Linked DNA regions of Macaca mulatta. The protein of the gene in region 1 interacts with the protein of each later gene in a biochemical or structural test. Links are inferred from orthologs where the notes say so. Each region holds a gene or a part of one and is shown on either strand. Other genes may lie near its edges.

Region 1 (3,750 bases):
CTGTTCAAGTCCCTTTTTCCCCAACCACTTGCAGGTCCATCTGCCAGTACTGGTGGCCCCCAACCCTTAAATCTGGCAGTTGTATCTACTTTTCCCAGTGCCTACTTTCCTAAAGGTTATTTTCTGCCCTCTGAGCCACATCTTGCTTGCCTCTTCCAGACATTAACCTTTGTTTCCCTTCCCTACTCCCATCCTAACAGCCTTTGCAGATGTGATTGGTGCCCTCTGGCACCCTGACTCCTGCGAAGCTGTGAATCCTACTCGATTCCGAGCTGTCTTCCAGAAATATGTTCCCTCCTTCTCTGGATACAGGTGGGAGAGCTGGAGGCTATGGGATTTCTCTCTGGCCATGTCTGGGGGTAGGGCCAAGCAAGGGCCCTGGCAGCATTGTTCTGAGCTTTGAGATGTTCTTCATCCAGGAAGTGGGGACCGGTATCTGGGCAGGGAATAGTGTCTGTGGACTAGGAGGGGAGTCAGTTGCCCATACTCTTTGTCTGGCTGTAGCCAGCAGGATGCCCAAGAGTTCCTGAAGCTCCTCATGGAGCGGCTACACCTTGAAATCAACCGCCGAGGCCGCCGGGCTCCACCAATCCTTGCCAATGGTCCAGTTCCCTCTCCACCCCGCCGAGGAGGGGCTCTGCTAGAAGAACCTGAGTTAAGGTAAGGGTCGTTCCCTCTACCTCCTCTCCCCAGTAGTTTATCAGCAGCATTTACACTTCATAGAACTGAACTAGTCAAGATGAAAGATGTAGGGTCCAGGAAAACCCTTTAGTATAGAAAATAGTGTGAGAAGCAGCGTAGAAGTAGAAGGAAGGAAGAGGGGGAGTCTAAGGGAGCAGATGGAGGCAGAAGATCATGCTAGGGATGTCACCAAATTGAAGAAGGGGATAATTAATTTACAGGTTGAGGAAGACAGCATATTCTTCCCTTGTGTACAATCCTTCCTTTTCCTCTCACCTCAGATTTCCCCAGAAAGTTCATTGAGGCATTATTCCTTTGACTTTTCCTTGAAATATAGGGAAGAAGCAGGGGTGTGGGTGGGGTGTAGGGCTCTGTGGGTCGTTTCAGTGGGTGTTGGGGTGCCCAGTGTTCTTGCTGTCTCATGGATGCTCCCCACTTCCTTTGATCTGTGGTAGTGATGATGACCGAGCCAACCTAATGTGGAAACGTTACCTGGAGCGAGAGGACAGCAAGATTGTGGGTATGGAATGGGGCAAAGCAATGAGGGAAAATTAGTGTGTGAGGGGGGTACAGGCTTGGGGGGAAAATTGATACTATCGAGGGGTATGGGAAGAAGACTGGATGATGCAAATGTGAAGCTGTGTGAAGAGTTGATTAGGAGTGTTGGTAGTGGGAAAGGAAGGGTCAGGCAAAGGGGCAGAAAGAGATAGAAATCCGAGAAATCATCTCATAACATCCAACAATGACCTTTTCTCCTGTCCCTGTGCTTCTGTCTAGACCTGTTTGTGGGCCAGTTGAAAAGTTGTCTCAAGTGCCAGGCCTGTGGGTATCGCTCCACGACCTTCGAGGTTTTTTGTGACCTGTCCCTGCCCATCCCCAAGGTGGGATTCCAGAGGATTCCGGGGTGGACAGGACAGGGGCTCTGTGACCCAAGCCTACCCACCCCCAGAGTGAGGGCGGGAACCCTGTGGGTTTCTGGAGCAGAACTGAAGCCTGGATTGATTGAGAAGAGTTGGAAAAGGAAATTCAGAACATGTTGACCTTTCTTCCCCTTTTCCCCCAGAAAGGATTTGCTGGGGGCAAAGTGTCTCTGCGGGATTGTTTCAACCTTTTCACTAAGGAAGAAGAGCTAGAGTCGGAGAATGCCCCAGTATGTGGAGGTTCACAAGGGATATAGTAAGGTCGGGAGACCTGGGGGGAGGGGGACTCCATGTGGATAAAATGGATTGCATGATGCCTTAATATGGGGAATAATATTTATGTATCTGGGTTTGTGTTGGAGTCTCAGATATGTTCTAGTACTCCTAGAGCAAAGGGGAGAAGCCGAGAGGATCCAGCCGTAATGAAGTGCATACGAAATTTATATGTGGATTGGAGTGTCAGAAAAGCCAGTTGAAGTTAGGAGCGCATTAACCTAACACTGTTTGCCATTTATTCAGGTGTGTGATCGATGTCGGCAGAAAACTCGAAGTACCAAAAAGTTGACAGTACAAAGATTCCCTCGAATCCTCGTGCTCCATATCCTAATCTTCAGATTCTTACTTCTCTTAGGATACCTCCCATACATTCTCTTTCCTCACCCTCCATGTTTCCAGAGAATTGAATTTTCCTTAGGAAAAGCCTGCCACACCCTTTTCCACAAGCTACTCCCAGTGTTTTGGGAGTGGGGAGAGGACAGCTTTCAGGACAGAAGTCCCCCTCAGAGGCCCACTGCCTCCCAAATGCTCCTTAACCAGGGCTTAGATCTGAATCGCTTTTCTGCCTCCCGAGGCTCCATCAAGAAGAGTTCAGTAGGTGTAGACTTTCCACTGCAGCGACTGAGCCTAGGGGACTTTGCCAGTGACAAAGCCGGTGAGTCTGGTGGGGAAAGTCCTAAGGAGCCAAAGGAGTGGGGGCACAGCTCTGATTGTAGAACTTGATCATCTCCAACCCCGCAGGAAGTCCTGTATACCAGCTGTATGCCCTTTGCAACCACTCAGGCAGCGTCCACTATGGCCACTACACAGCCCTGTGCAGGTGCCAGACTGGTTGGCATGTCTACAATGACTCTCGGTGAGAACAGCCTCCTATTTACATCTTGCCCCATTCCCACTCAGCCCTGACACCCTCCCCTTCTGTGAAGTCCCAGGAGAGCAGAGTGCCAGGTGAAAGGAGAGGCGGAGGTCTTGCCTGATCTCTTCCTGGATGCTCTGAGGTTCGGTCTTGAGGGAGAAGGGAGTAAACAGTAATGACCACAACCCTTTCCCGATCTCCCTTTTTCCTAGTGTCTCCCCTGTCAGTGAAAACCAGGTGGCATCCAGCGAGGGCTACGTGCTGTTCTACCAACTGATGCAGGAGCCACCCCGGTGCCTGTGACACCCTCTCTAAGCCCTGGCACCTGTGAAGCCCTTTAAACACCCTTAAGCCCCAGGCTCCCCGTTTACCTCAGAGACGTCTATTTTTGTGTCTTTTTAATCGGGGAGGGGGGAGGGGGTGGTTGTAGCTCCATTATTTTTTTTATTAAAAAATACCCTTCCACCTGGAGGCTCCCTTGTCTCCCAGCCCCATGTACAGAGCTCACCAAGCCCCTGCCCGTGTACAGCCCCCAGACCCCCTGCAATATCACTTTTTGTGAATAAATTTATTAAGAAAAAATGATGTGCTTATTTGTATTTTTGCTTAGGGAGTGACAGAAAACTGGGCCTAATTGGAGTCTTCCTGGGACCCAAGTTCCCTCTCTAATAGGTGGGGGCGCTCTCAGATCCAAGGGGGAAGGTTTCGGAGATGGTGCTGGACCCGGACCTGTGCCCCCCAGCAGTGTACATTAAGCACTGGGAGGAAAAAGAGGGAAGGCATACTTGAGGCTGCGTGCAGGCTCTGGGGCGTCTGGTTTGGTCGGCGATGGGGGATGCCGCTGTTGACAAACACTGGGTACGTTGCCGGGTGGCCCTAGCTCCCGTAGGCCCGGTCTGTTGCTAACATCAAGGAGCTGTTTATGGAGCCACCTCCCAGTGGACTGGCTTCCAGTGTCCCTATCTATTCTCCCTACGACCAAAGCTCCTGGGGCCTTCCCTCTAGGGTTGTCACCCT
Region 2 (2,748 bases), about 130 Mb from region 1:
CAACATGGCGAGACCCCAATCTCTACTAAAAATACAAAAAAGTAGCCGGACCCCTGTGGTCCCAGCTACGTGGGAGGCTGACGTGAGGGGATCCCTTTAGCCAGGGAGGTGGAGGCTGCGGTGAGCTGGGATTGCACCTCTGCACTCCAGCCTGGGCGACAGAGTGAGACCCTGTCTCAAAAAAACAAAAACAACAAAAAACACCAAACCTGGGCAAATACTGCCCTAAACCAAGTGTTGTCATCTCTGGGGAGTTTGGAGGTTTTGTTTCTGAATTAACCATAGAGGTGTTTTCCATGTTTACTGTTTGCAAGTTGGTAAATGGAAAATGAAACCATTAGTTCATGTGAAGGCTTTAGCGCTTTTTTTTTTTTTTTTTTTTTTAACAGTTTCACTCTTGTTGCCCAGGCTGGAGCGCAATGGCGCGATCTCGGCTCACCGCAACCTCCACCTCCCAGGTTCAAGCGATTCTCCTGCCTCAACCTTCCCAAGTAGCTGGGATTACAGGCATGCGCCACCAAACCTGGCTAATTTTGTATTTTTAGTAGAGACGGGGTTTCTCTGTGTGGGTCAGGCTGCTCTCAAACTCCCGACCTCAGGTGATCTGCCCACCTCGGCCTCCCAAAGTGCTGGGATTACAGGAGTGAGCCACGGCATTCAACCAGCTTTAGTGCATCTTGTGAAGGACCTGGAATGCTCGATATTTAGGTGTTTCCAGGGTGTTGGGTGGGGGTGGGGATGCCGTCCGCCGTCCTGAGTCCCCGGCCCTGACAGTGCCTTTGAGACCCTGCCCACCCCCTTCTGCTTTTCCCCGTCTTTCGGCCATTCTGTTTTGTTTCTTCTGCTCACTCTGGGGCATGCCTTGGGAAAAGGAAACCGAAACTTGGCCACCGGAGCAGGCTCGCGCGGCCACGCCCCCTGACGTGTGTGGCTCAGGCTTATAACAGGGCTGGCTGCTGCCTGCAGGAGCCGGCAGTTGAGAGGCAGTGAACTCATCTTTGCCAGTACAGGAGCTCGTGCCGCGTCCCACAGCCCACAGCCATGGTAAGGGAGATGTCACAGGTGTGTGTGTGTTGGGTGGGGGGGGCCTCTGTGCCAATCAATTTTTGTCTCCCCCAGCCCGTGGCCCACAGCCCACAGCCATGGTAAGGGAGATGTCACAGGTGGGGGCTCGGGGGGGGGCAGGCCTCTGTGCCAGTCAATTTTCAGCTCCCTCCCCCAGCCAAGGTCTCCCAGGGTTGCAGGGAGAGCAGAGCTGCTTAGAGCTCGGCCAGGTTCTAAGTGTGCTCCTGAAAGCAGGTCACCCCTGAGATCCTCAGGGTGGGCACAGAGGGGCACCCTAGCAGGTAAAGGGAGGCCACGGATGGCTGTGGGCAGCTGGCCTTCTAGTAATGACCCCTCAGTGCCTTCTGTGCCTGGGGTCCCTGCTGATGGGATGTAGAGGACAAACAGGAGGAAGCACTGTCCCTGGGCACAGGAGCTCGCCCAGCAGCCAGGGCCTTGTGTGTCGTGGGCCTGGGACTGGTGCGGCAGCCTCTGAGCCTGTGTAATGTCTGCAGAGCTGGGACCTGAAGGTGAAGATGCTGGGGGGCAACGAGTTCCAGGTGTCCCTGAGCAACTCCATGTCGGTGTCAGAGCTGAAGGCAAAGATCGCCCAGAAGATCGGCGTGCATGCCTTCCAGCAGCGTCTGGCTGTCCACCCCAGCGGCGCCACCCTGCAGGACAGGGTTCCCCTTGCCAACCAGGGCCTGGGCCCCGGCAGCACGGTCCTGCTGGTGGTGGACAAGTGCGATGAACCTCTGAGCATCCTGGTGAGGAACGACAAGGGCCGGAGCAGCACCTACGAGGTACAGCTGACGCAGACTGTGGCCCACCTGAAGCAGCAAGTGAGCCGGCAGGAGGGTGTGCAGGACGACCTGTTCTGGCTGACCTTCGAGGGGAAGCCCCTGGAGAATCAGCTCCCGCTGGGGGAGTACGGCCTCAAGCCCCTGAGCACCGTGTTCATGAATCTGCGCCTGCGGGGAGGCGGCACAGAGCCTGGCGGGCAGAGCTAAGGGCCTCCACCAGCATTCGAGCAAGATCAAGGGCTGGAAATAAATGTTGTAAAGAGAAATGGCTGCCTCTGTGTCTGCACGTGACCCTCCTCCAGCGTCCGCCTCAGACCCCTAGTGAAGTGGCGGGAGGAGTCAGGAGGGAGATCCCAGGGTCCATCCTGGTGACCAGGCCTGGTTGCCAAGTGAAAGGATAAGGGTTTGCAGTTACAGCCTCGAGGGATCAAAATACGGAGCTTCCTCCCTACCAAACTGAAGTAAGACAGCTCTCCCCACCCTTTGGGAAATTAACTTCTAGGGAAAGAAAAAGAGACACAGTTGCTGGAGCCCATCCTGCCCATCCTCCATCTGGGACAGCAGACAGCTTAGGCAGGGACCAGCCTGCTCAAATCAAAAGGCTACGGGGGAGGCTCCCAGTGGGCCCCTGGAAGCTGTGCGGGGTGAGTCCTTGGGGCCTGCCCAGTGGGCTGTGAGGCAGGCTCTCCACAGGAACTGGGGGCCGGGGGCCTCAGCTGTCCCTAGCCCAGCCTGCACAGCCTGCTCCACCTGCCTGGGCTGGGCGAGGGAGGGATAGAGACAGGTCCTGAGTGCTCACATCACCACTGGGGCCAGCTGTAGAAGACAGCCTGGGTGGCTAAGCACATCCCCTCAAGGCTCTGCGTGAATGAGGGGCCGTGGCCAGCAGTGGGGGCGCCTG
Region 3 (3,750 bases), about 41 Mb from region 1:
TTCAACCCTCATTCATGCATAGATCACACTTCTCCAAAGTTGGTATGGCCTGTCTCCTTGGCATGTTCCCTTGCTTCTGCTTGTCCAGTTAATCCTTTCTGACATACCATGCATCTCAGGGTGAAGCGGTTGACATCAGTAAACTGTCTCCTTCTTCTAGCTTCATCTGCTAATTCCAGTGCTTGTACAAGAACAATATCATCATTAGAGGAGAAAATGGTCAGAGGAGGTGTATCTGGATCAGGGAAGTTACGCTGAAGTGGATCATAGTGGATGCCATCATAAATAAGCAGAACCCTTTTAGTATATCCTGCATCTTCCCCAAAACGATCAATTCTTACTGTCTGTGTATCCACTACACATATTTCACATTGGTAAAACTTGGACAAAATCGATATCTCTATTGCTCCTCCCCAAGTGTCATCCCTTTTGATCCAGTCACAGTACTCTTGATTTGTTTTTCCCAGTATTGCCTCACTATAGAAGTCCGGATCGCTTGCTACAATTTGTGCTATGAGGCGTCTCATCTCAGGGGCACAAGCTGGATTCAAGACTCCTCCTTCGACGACATAGTACACACTGGTAAAGAGGCAAGAATTGTCTGCTGGGACCACGGTTCTGGTAAGCACAGGCAAAGTTTCCCTGACGTAACTAGAAGCACCACGTTTAGTAAATGCAGGTGAACTTTTGGGCCTGGTTTGGTCTTCTTCAACGATCAGCATGTCACCTGTTAAAAATAAAACAAATCCCGATCTGCAGAGAAATTATAGAAGAAACCGAGTGTTCACTAGCCAAGTCTGTAAATTACAAACTGAAGGAGTTAAAGCATAAACTGGGGTTATTAAAGAGAAGACAGCTTTGCAAATAAGTTACCAGTAACAATCTTTGTTCACTGAATTTTCATAAAGATGAAAAAAGAACAAAGAACAAAGACACTTCAGGTTGCATCCCAATTTAGTGAAGCGGTCTGGAGTAAACAACTTTAAGCTTACCTAAAAAGATACATTTCAAAAACAAAATTTCCTTTCCTTATACAGTATTTTACAGAAGGTGCTCACTACAGAGTAGGCCGCTAGGGGGGTCTCCTTCTCTGGGAACTTATCTACTCTGAGTGTTTACAGCGTCCTTGATACAGCAACTGAAAGCTTTTAATTATAAACACTGATGTTCAAGTTTTGATATGGCACAAAAATAACTGCTACTGGTTAGAAATTGAAAGGGCTTTCAGTGGGTGTTTAAAAGCTGACTCGAAAATGAGTATGCCTGTCAAACGAAGTATCTATGAAGGGGATTGCAAAAATGAACCAAGAAAAAAAAAATCCTGCATCCTTGAGATCTCATCGATGATACAGGGGAAAAGAGACATAAGGACAGAGAAAATAGGCCCTACTTCTTCATATTTTTGTGGACGCCGACGGAAAACAAAATGGGATAGTTTCAAAGCCGAGCAGAAAGCGGATTGGGGAAGGGGGACTTCAAGCCTTTGGGTTCCCTTTCAACCCTGTGTCAAGACAAGGAGTTGCTAGACACTTGCCCCGGCCCCCGTCAGAGTTCTCTGTTCTTTGATCTATCCTCGCCCCTGGCCTCAAAGTCCCCCGCCGACCCACAGCCACCTTGCCTTGACTAGTGTTCTGTTCTCTCTCACGCCCCTCTCCGTCCTCCCGGGACTTTCCCTGGCCCCTGCCCTGATTCCTTACCAGATTGGATGGGCAAGTCTTCCAGAATGGTATCCCCATTGCTGAGATCCAGGCACTCGGGAGGGTATCCGACGAGGATTCGCTGACCGCCGGGGGCGATCCCGGTGATGGCGGCAATTTGGCTCTGGAGTTCCCGCACCCGGGTCCGGCTGGACAGCCCCTGCAAAACATGGGTGCCGTCCTTGGCCTTGCAGCGGAGCCGCCACATCGTGTCGGTCCGGCTGCCCACAGGCCAGACACCCGCGGGACCAGCTTTGGTCCCGGCAGCCGGTTGAGCGATGCCGCCGGGGCAACCAGGCGCCGGGTGGACTCCAAAATGGCGACCTTTAGCGGGGCCAAACATCGCGAGAAGTTGCGGGTTGTTACAGTTCTCGCGACGCTTCGGCGCGGCTTCTGCCTTAAGCGCGAACTCTTTTAAAGTGGCAACTGATTTTTCCCCCACCCTCAGAACGAAGATGTAAACCTCCGTATTCCTAAAGGACAACGGGTCTTGCTACTTGTAGAGCGAGTGAGGTGCCCTCCGCGTCGGTAGCATATATGCTTAAGAAAAGAGGGCGGGGGAAGGAGTTCCTTAATGAAGCTCTGGAGCTTGGAATGTGACCTTGCACTTAGTGAGGTCGGAAATTATTAAATTGGGGCTTCCACGCTACACCCAGACTACATTAGGAGAAACAGAATCATAGTTCACAACGCAAACGAATGCCAGGAATGGTCACTGAGTCAAAGGACCAGTCAAAAACAATTATACTTGTGACTAGACTCGTGGCTGCATTAAACATTGACTCATTGAGGTTCCAGGGGCCAAAGGACTGGCCTTTCTGCCTCCCTGGGACTGCTTGAAAACGTCTATTTGCCACATCAGAAAGCACAGTATGAGGTCAGCATCTGGGCCCAGGGCAGCTGCCTCATTCAGGTGGTGGCAGTGTAAGGAGGAGTCATGTAGTGCGTGTCATCAGATTCCAGTTCAGTTCCTGGGCATGCAAATATGAAGACTTCATTCCTGCCTTCATTGTAACAAGTATTGATTGCAGTTGGGAGACAGGGTGGGGTGTGAGACACACAGCCACTGAATTTCAAAGCAACGTGATAATGCTAGATTATGTGTACCTTTTCAACCGTGTGTGCCTAGAACCCAGGACTGTGAATCGCAAATAAAAAATGTTCAACAAATACTTGCTGAAAGAATAAAGACAGAGTTGTATAGACATAGAGAGGGCAACTAGAGCACTCTGGGAGTTGTAAAAAGTCTCAAAGAGGAGATAACTGTTTGAACTTTTGGAAGAATGAGTTTAATTCCCAGGCGAAGGAGGAATAAAGACATCCCTGAATTTATATGTCTATTTTCCAAGAAATCTATACTCATTGTTCTTTATCCAGCCGGTATCCAGACAGCAAGTCCCACTTGTCTAGAGTGTGTTTATCAAGCATCAAACGGGCCCACTGGGGCAACTATGAAAAGTGTAGTTCACTTGGTCCAAACTCACCTCCACTGTAAAAGACTTTGCTTCTGAATAAATGATATGTAATGTTTCTATCTTTTCACATCTTTCATGACTCAATTTTTTTCTGCTGGTGCAATTTTCCTCCTTGGTTCTTCAAGACACTACAACAGATGATACAGCCTGAGTTGGGAGGTAGGTAGGAGGGAAGGTAGGAGCGGTTAGAAGTCCACTGGGGTGGCCGGGCGCGGTGGCTCACACCTGTAATCCCAGCACTTTGGGAGGCCGAGGCGGGTGAATCACCCGAGGTCAGAAGTTCGAGACCAGCCTCATCAATATGGAGAAATCCTGTCTCTACTAAAAATACAAAATAAGGGGGGCGTAGTGGCGCATGCCTGTAATCCTAGATACTCGGAGGCTGGAGAATCGCTTGAACCCGGGAGGCAAAGGTTGCGGTGAGCCAAGATCGTGCCATTTCTCTCCAGCCTGGGCAACAAGAGCAAAACTCCATCTCAAAAAAAGAAAAAAAAAATTCCACTGGGGTGTATGGGTGGGTCCAGGGAAGCTTCTGGTTCAACGATGAGAGTGGTTGAGTTTCTTAGGTTACAGCGTCT

The links.
Region 2: the proteins of USP21 (region 1) and ISG15 form a complex in vitro, tested with the Homo sapiens proteins (2 studies listed by BioGRID, with this or other methods). The link is inferred for Macaca mulatta from reciprocal best matches to the Homo sapiens genes USP21 and ISG15.
Region 3: the proteins of USP21 (region 1) and YOD1 form a complex in vitro, tested with the Homo sapiens proteins (2 studies listed by BioGRID, with this or other methods). The link is inferred for Macaca mulatta from reciprocal best matches to the Homo sapiens genes USP21 and YOD1.

The regions. Positions count from the first base shown.
Region 1 is NC_133406.1:105,721,076-105,724,825, reverse strand, and holds the end of USP21 (ubiquitin carboxyl-terminal hydrolase 21), read left to right. Parts: intron 1-200; coding exon 201-312; intron 313-504; coding exon 505-660; intron 661-1,136; coding exon 1,137-1,201; intron 1,202-1,458; coding exon 1,459-1,562; intron 1,563-1,744; coding exon 1,745-1,831; intron 1,832-2,120; coding exon 2,121-2,532; intron 2,533-2,618; coding exon 2,619-2,733; intron 2,734-2,945; coding exon 2,946-3,036; 3' UTR 3,037-3,316; downstream 3,317-3,750. UniProt on the Homo sapiens protein: Deubiquitinates histone H2A, a specific tag for epigenetic transcriptional repression, thereby acting as a coactivator.
Region 2 is NC_133406.1:239,667,742-239,670,489, reverse strand, and holds ISG15 (ubiquitin-like protein ISG15), read left to right. Parts: upstream 1-955; 5' UTR 956-1,041; coding exon 1,042-1,044; exon of another isoform or gene 1,045-1,142; coding exon of another isoform or gene 1,143-1,145; intron 1,146-1,559; coding exon 1,560-2,054; 3' UTR 2,055-2,111; downstream 2,112-2,748.
Region 3 is NC_133406.1:64,800,917-64,804,666, forward strand, and holds the start of YOD1 (ubiquitin thioesterase OTU1), read right to left. Parts: upstream 2,645-3,750; 5' UTR 2,041-2,644; coding exon 1,698-2,040; intron 728-1,697; coding exon 24-727; 3' UTR 1-23. UniProt on the Homo sapiens protein: Hydrolase that can remove conjugated ubiquitin from proteins and participates in endoplasmic reticulum-associated degradation (ERAD) for misfolded lumenal proteins.